Linked DNA regions of Daphnia pulex. The protein of the gene in region 2 binds, or shares a complex with, the protein of the main gene of each other region. Links are inferred from orthologs where the notes say so. Each region holds a gene or a part of one and is shown on either strand. Other genes may lie near its edges.

Region 1 (3,510 bases), on a different chromosome or scaffold from region 2:
TGAGTGACGTCATGTTAAAAAAAGGCGAAGTAGCAGCTTCGCTTAGCTGGGAAGAGCTAATGAGCCGCTGTCAAGCTAAACTTTCAACAGTTTATGAAATGATCTTCCCAAACCAGTCGGCTCCCGTCATCGTGAAAGGAGAGTTGGAGCCAGTCGAGATTACCACGGCATCGAGAGCTGGCAACAAGAAGGTCACCCTCATCAGTGGCCTTGAGACGTACAGGATCGACTTGGACGAATTTGCTCGAAGGTACCAATGGTCTCACATTCTTTAGGTGAAGGGGTCTCTTAAAAGTAAGCGAATTTCTCTTGTCTGTTTGAATAGGTGCCAAGTAGGCGTGGCGGCTAGCACAACAATAACCAGCTCTCCAGCTAAAAAGGGTCAATTGGTGTTGGTACAGGGTAACCAAATTAGTTTTGTCGGAAATTTGCTCATCGATGAATACGGAATTCCCAAGTAATTTTTTTAAAACTAAATAATAAAATAATAGAAATAAATATTAACTTTACAAAATTTTATCTTTTTTCTAACAGGCAATTTATCCAAGGATTCGACTTAAAAAAAGCCAAAAATAAAAAATAATTTTTGCGAAATTGTATAAGAGAATGGAATCCGAAATAAACAACACGGAAAGATGGTGCCTGTTTAATATACAACCGACTATTTTCCAGGTTTCCGTTTTTCTTGCAATTTTGTGGCAGCCCGTTTCTTAATGTTCTGCAGTCGTTTATCGGCGTTAATGAGGGATGTGTTGCCAATAGTATTTCCAGATGAAGAATTGCTACTGCTGCTCGATGAGCTTGTTGACTTACTTGAAGCACCGCTGCCGCCATTTGGCTTCTGGGGCAAGGTTTGCTGTTTGCTGAAGTTAACTACCAGGCCGGCTGAGCTTTTGCCACTCACGGAACTCGGAGAGTCAGATCGACTTTTATAGAAAGTGATGGGACTTTCCCTACTGCTACTTGATTTAGGTCGACTAGCGGTCTTTTTCATTGACTTGCTACAATCGGAACAGAAAAAGACGGATCGAGGATCGTTAACTTCGGCGTCGCTAATATTCGGTTGGTGGCATTCCTGGTGATAAAGGCCGTGACATTCTTGGCACTCTACGAGCTGATTTCCAGAAGTAACATCCAGGCCACTGTTACGTAGAGAGAGGAAAAAGTTTGAATATTTTTATCACTATAACAAACAATAAGACTTACGTGCAAATAACACAGTGAAGATCCATAATTTCCTGAGCCAAGTCATCGGCGTCATTCAAAGAATCGAGGTCGTCGCTTTTTCGAGCCACACTTGGAGATCTCGAATTTCGTGGTGAACTAGGAAAATATAATTTTAAAAATAAAATTAATAAATAAGAAATCAAATGGAAAACACCTCCCAGCTGGTGAGCCAGGCTGTGAAGAACGAGGGGAATCTTTGAATTTCTTTGGAACAACTTCATCATCATTGAACATGTTATCATGTTTTCGCTTAGATTCCTTGTTTTTCTCAAGAACACTGTAATACAAGACTTAGTTAACTAGTATAAAGTTTATCCAAAACTGTGGATACATACCTAGAAGATGGAGATGAAGGTTGTGAAGATCGAGGAGATTCCTTCCTTCTTTTACTGAGAGGAACATCTTCATCAATGAAGAAGTCACTTTTCTTCTTTGTTTCCTGTAATGCAAGAGATTTAATCACAACAGCATAAAAAAAGTAAAAATATATTACCCTTTTGATCATCGTCAAAGGTGGTGGCAACTTGCTGACAGAAGAGTTGGTTTCATTCTTTAATCTTATGGCTTCATCCAACATAGATTTCAATTGGTCACCAGAATCTTTAGCACTAGAATGCAAAAGACTGATAGCTTTAATTAAATATGGTTCAATAAGACCATCCATTATCAAACTTAGAATTTAAAATATTAATAATAGTAAATATTTGTAATGAGTTCTTGGAGCTATTTTCAAAGCAAACCATTCACGACAGCACTTCTGTCCGAATCAACATCAACTTCAAAATAAATGTGAAGAAGGAAATGGCCCTCTGGTGGCAGATTCAATAAATTGTGCAATTTTATTTTCAACACTTTCTTTTTATTAATGAACAAAAAGTATGCAAATTTTGACACCAAATTTAATTAGCGCGCAATGTGATGTCTTATTTTTAAAAAAGAAAGAAATTCGGAGTTTTATCAAGAATTCTATAAATAGCGATAAGACTCAGCGATGACACCTAGCGGTAGTTTGCTAACGACGGCTTAGATAGATTTGTGAGTCTAGCCAGAAAGACATTCATATTCTGCTTCTGCACAGACGGACTCGCTGTTGCTGGTTTGGTTTTAGCTTTCGACGAGTTATTTTTTAACACAAATTTTTAGGATCAAGATAGCCGTTGTTCTTCTCTCTGTGATTACCTCACAACGAAAAGGAGATGTGTAGTTGATTTGGTGATTATAGAATCCGTTTGAACGATCGAAAGGTTACTAGTTATATCACGTCTCCTGTGATGATTACATATCAAAGTGATGTTATATGTGCTGTATGAGGTTCAGTGAGGATGTGAGGCCTGTTGGACACGGTTGTCGATTGTTTTCAAGTCGAGATAAAAGACATTTAGTCACCTCACAAAAGGGTGTGAGGGGATTTTCTAATTGACGAACAAATTCTTGGATTGTGCAAGCTTCCACCCCATTTCGCTTGCTGCCATGTCTACATTTGAGCCAGCCGACAGGAACAGGTAAATCATTTAAATTCCTTTTTAATCTCTAACAGGTCATTTGTTTCATTCCTTCATCAGCCAGAAGTTGGTGTGAATTTCTCAGGAAATTGCTGTTTGTTTGTGTTGGCTGCAACCACCAGATAACTTCTAGCTTCTAAATTTAGGTTTCAAGTAAAACCCCCCAGCCAGACGGTAAAGAAAAAAAAGGAAGATTGTTTAGAAATGAGAGAATCAGTGATGCATCCTGCATCCTCGATTTAGAAAGTCTCTCATATTGCCAATGTCCTTATTCTCTCTCTCAATTAAATGACTGATTCCTGACAGATGATGATCATGAAGATTAACTCCTCTACTGCCTTTTTCTCTACATCCTGCTGGTCGGTCCCCTCTCTCCCGTATATCCGGAGAGTCATCTAAGATAGGCCATGGATTTTCCGAGGGGTGGGCGTCGTGATAAATATTTAGATGTTGTATGGGGCAAAGGGGTGGTGGTAGAAACAGGCGCCGGTGGTAGATGACGCAGCTGGAATCTCGGATGATCACATATGTGTTGGTTTTAATACGAGTGAAAATGGCGACGCATTCCCGAGAAAGAAAAAAGCCCCAAAAAATGATGAAGTCTGGGAGAGGATGTGATGGTGTGGTATAGGAAGTGAGTGCGTGTATGTTGTTTGGAAGGGGGGAACACAGTGGTGAGAGAAGAAGAGGGAAAAAACGCGAGAGAGAGAAAGAGAGAGAGAGAGCCATTTAGATATGGCCGGATGCGCTCGACTCGGCCCGCCCGGCAGCGGTATGTACG
Region 2 (4,069 bases):
TATAAGAGAAAAATTCGAATGTATTTATGGTGATGTTCACAAACAAGGTAGACATTGTAGCAAAATATCCCTCAAAGTTCTCCGTAGCGCTTCATCATGGCAGTAAACATGAGTGTTGGAACCTTCCAGTTGAATCACAGTGTCCTCTCTTGGCTAAAAGACAAAATTGGAAAGACAAGTTATTACGACTCTTGAAATGACAAAATGATATACGGGGTAGTACCAAGTGAATGACGACGCCTCGAGGAGTGTCTTCGACCCGAGCATCTAGCAAACCATGTTGACTGAGCAAATGCAACAGTTGAGTTGTGTCAACAGAGCCCCAAGGATGGCGAGGCAGCATTCTCTCCGACGCACTGTACAATGTGCCTCCTTCCTCTTCGTTTAATACCTAGATTTGAAAATAGTAAAAAGCTATGAGACACTGTCACAAGTTAGGAGAACAAAGGACTCACTTTCAGAGTAAATTTATTGTCACGAGCATCCAATTTTCCAGTCAGAGTAGAAGCTGAAAGGCCCGTTTTAAATTGGATGGGTTCGAGACGAGAGGCCAGGGCCGGATCAAGATGCACTTTTTCCTGCTTCCTCTTAATTGGTAACTGTAACACCTGGTAGGACTTCATACCCAATGCTGGTGGATCCAATTCTAAAAAAAAAGAAAGAATAAGGTTAACTGACTGGCCAACTAGATCCAGTTCAACAGGAATCGATCGAAGACTTACCCTGAATAACCAAGTCTGATCTTAAGGGAGCCGACACTGGCGGGTGGAGGTAAACGTCTGGAACGAGTAAGTTTCCTGGCTTGAGATCGCGTATCAGTTTATTGGCTTGAGTGAAGCTCAAACTCGTGTCAATGGGACAGTGAACGATTTTCATGGTCAGTGGTTGATAGGGGGCCAGCGCTTCCAGGTAAGGGAAATCGGGTTCAACGAAGACGATACTGTGGTTGCTATGACTGCCCCATAACTCTATGAAGTGAACTACATTGCCAAAACGAAGGGAAGGATGACCGCAAAATACGACACATGGCTGTCTGTACTCGTTGGTGAATCCTTCGGCATGCAGGCTTGGGAAGTGTTTCAGTCGACCATTTTTGATGAGATGGGCGTGAGGAAATGGTTCTTCTGGGAGATAAACTTTGCTCTGCTTGCCTGAAGATAACCTATATGAAATGAGGATGATAAGTTGACTAAACATTTTCGGAAAAATAATAAATGTGACAAGCCGAACCATTCAGCGAAGATGTTGGAATAAGCCAAGGAAGTTTCGGCCACGGGAGAGAAGAAAAACAGCGGAATCTGACTAAGACCAATATTGTCTAAATGAACTGAGAGACATTCGAACAGATCGTAAAGAAGGCCGGAAGGGTGACATGGGACTAGGCAAGATCCGCCCGATCGTAACGTGGATGCTGCAAAAGGTTTAAGGAAACATTGTTAGTTTTTTTCTAATGTAATTTAATAGAATTTTACTATTTGAATTACCAACTGCCATGCAGAATTCGCCCAACATTGAATCTGGATTGGCCACGGGGGTCTGAGTCAACGCTGTCAAGATCAAGAGATCGGCATTTCTAAGGGCAACTTGATCCATCGGCCTGTATATGGAAAAAATGGTATAAAATTAATTTGTTAAAAAAGTAACACTAATTAAGCTTATAGAACCTTGGGTGGGTCGTGAGAGTAGATGAAGCGCTCACGTACGCAATCTTCTCATAGCCGGAATGAATGATCCAATTGCAACTACCAAGGGAATATCCAGAACTGACGGCCATCACAGTTAAAGCACCACAGATATCCTAAAAGTTGTCGGTTAATATTGTTTCATAAGAATTTTTTAAAAATCCGAAAAAGGACGTACAATTTTTTCGTTGAAGCCAACCATGCGAACTTTTGCCAGGGCTGCATTGATGGCTTTTGTGGAATAGACTTTCTTCCAATCATTTGGTCTCAGAGCCCCACTGAGAGGAGGAGGAAGAGACTGGAGTACTTGCTTCCATCTGTTTGCTCGCTGATTTTTGGGAGTCCTTTCCAAGTAGTTGACCAGTTCTTCCATGTAGAGCCTACGACAAAGAATACAATATAGTCTCAATATTGTGTGACAACAATTGCAGGTTGCATACCTTCCAATCTGCAAGGTGGGTTCAGTTGCATATACCCTCCCTTTAAAGCCAGTTTCTTCAGTGATGAATGGCAGGGCCAGCATGCAGGCATGATTCGATAGCAAGATGGTATCCACATCAGAGATGTCAAAAATGTCTGACTGAGGGGGCAGTATCTCTATTGGGCCATCCACCAACACTCGATTTTCACATTCTTTCAGTTCCTATACAGGATAAATGAACATTTGAAATGACACGAAGATAGAGAAGAGATCAAATCTAACTCACTCCATCAAGAAGTGCAGCATCCTGTGTGTCTCTCGGGATCCAGTTTGGTAAATTTGAGAGCCTTTTGCTGGCAACGAGAGGCAGAGGTAGAAAATGAAGGGCCGAGTTGATATCCAGCCCACAATCGAGCATCAGCGAAACGCCTTTGAAATTCAAGATGTTGCAGGGTTTATTTGGGTTGGCGCCCAGACTGTACTATGTAAACAGAAACTGTGTTTATCAGACCGCTCCATTTCGGTGAAAGGAAAATATTAAAATGCTTACGATTTTCATGTTGTGGGCGCGTTTTATCTGAAAAGTGACAAGAAAGAATTTTTATTTCAAACTCGGTATATGACAGACAGATCCAGACTTGTTTGTTTGTCCGGTTCGTACTTACTACACGAGCTGCTAGCAGACTAACATTTGAAAACCCAATGCAGCGTTGTCATTTTTCAACTTGAAAAGATAGGTTCATTTTATTTTATTATTTTATTTTTTTAAATAAGAGCGCCGGAACGCGAAAGAAATAAATCTAGAATAAAAATTGAAATCTGAATCACATATTCGCTTTTGAGAATGTGTATTGAATAACGCCATCGGATACGCAACAAACAAGCGAAACAAAAGAAGCTACAAAGTTACACACATTTTGTCAATGATTAAGAACGAAAGAATATTATATCACTCTATACAGTTTTGTTGGTTGTCAAAAAAAAAAAATTCGTCCATTTCGTCGATTGTGTTGCAAGACACGCCCTTATCAGTTCTCCGTCCAGTAGGGTGTTCAACTAAATCTTGGTGCAACCAAGAAAAAGGAACTTTCCAAAAAATCTAACCGGACTGGTGAATGATAAGGCCAAGTCATTGAACCATTTTCTCCACAGCGAGAGATGATACGTGATGCTCCTTCAGCTTCCGGTGTCGAAATGCCTCCTATATATATTTGATGCCCCTGCAACAACAGAAGAAAAAAAACACACACACAATAAAAAGAATCCAATAAGCAAGACCCAAGCAAGAAAATGAAGAAAACAACATGGTCGATGATCGGCTTGGCCTCTGTGTTTGGTCGGGAGTCTGCTGTGTGTCTGTGTGAGAAGAGAGAAATAAGAGCAGACACGGTTACTAAGGGGGAGAGAAAGGGAAATGAAATACGATGGGGGGGAACACAACACACACATCACAAATGGGTGTCGGAGACGACCAACGACTATACCCAAAGAGGGGAGAGCATTTTTCCTCTGTATATATATATATATACGTGAGCAAAAAGGAGAGAGTGAACGGTCTTTTACAAAATGGGAAACATCTGCCCGGCTGCTGGCCCTTTTCCCATATCAAAAAGGAAAGAAAAGAATGAAAAAGAGAAGCTTTTGTGTGTGTGTTTGATATATACCATGGGGTAGGTGGTAGTAGTAGTACAGTAGTGTAGTTGGGAAATCAAAAGAGCTCAGGGGCCTCCCCCCTTATTCACCAGAAATGAAAAAAGAGAAAAAAATGTCGATACTCTGCTGGGTCGGTTGAGTGATCTATCGAGAGAAGAAGAAAAATGTGTGTTCCAACACACGATAGCTGCTGCTGCTAAAGGCTCTTACAAGAAATTGAAGCCGGAGCAATGTGAGATGTGTCTCTCAACACTCGAAGAGAGAAAGAAGAGGAAGCAGCAGCAGCTTGCTTACGACGTGTTTGTTGTGTGTG

Evidence for each region. Proteins that work in one complex are often made in the same cells at the same time.
Region 1: integrator complex subunit 9-like (region 2) and integrator complex subunit 12-like share a complex: the UniProt entries of both Homo sapiens proteins name them as parts of the integrator complex. The link is inferred for Daphnia pulex from reciprocal best matches to the Homo sapiens genes INTS9 and INTS12.

Annotation. Positions count from the first base shown.
Region 1 is NC_060026.1:13,198,591-13,202,100, forward strand, and holds integrator complex subunit 12-like, read right to left. Parts: upstream 2,014-3,510; 5' UTR 1,892-2,013; coding exon 1,721-1,891; intron 1,667-1,720; coding exon 1,563-1,666; intron 1,505-1,562; coding exon 1,382-1,504; intron 1,324-1,381; coding exon 1,207-1,323; intron 1,143-1,206; coding exon 662-1,142; 3' UTR 584-661; coding exon of another isoform or gene 535-583; 3' UTR 501-534; downstream 1-500. Other genes in the region: eukaryotic translation initiation factor 2D-like, read left to right, coding at 1-250, 326-457, 535-583; adapter molecule Crk-like, read left to right, coding at 2,698-2,729. UniProt on the Homo sapiens protein: Component of the integrator complex, a multiprotein complex that terminates RNA polymerase II (Pol II) transcription in the promoter-proximal region of genes.
Region 2 is NC_060027.1:3,457,078-3,461,146, forward strand, and holds the start of integrator complex subunit 9-like, read right to left. Parts: upstream 2,801-4,069; 5' UTR 2,663-2,800; coding exon 2,654-2,662; intron 2,585-2,653; coding exon 2,390-2,584; intron 2,326-2,389; coding exon 2,123-2,325; intron 2,063-2,122; coding exon 1,861-2,062; exon of another isoform or gene 1,799-1,860; coding exon 1,665-1,798; exon of another isoform or gene 1,598-1,664; coding exon 1,485-1,597; intron 1,421-1,484; exon of another isoform or gene 1,412-1,420; coding exon 1,231-1,411; intron 1,163-1,230; coding exon 723-1,162; intron 647-722; coding exon 456-646; intron 392-455; coding exon 224-391; intron 154-223; coding exon 37-153; 3' UTR 1-36. UniProt on the Homo sapiens protein: Component of the integrator complex, a multiprotein complex that terminates RNA polymerase II (Pol II) transcription in the promoter-proximal region of genes.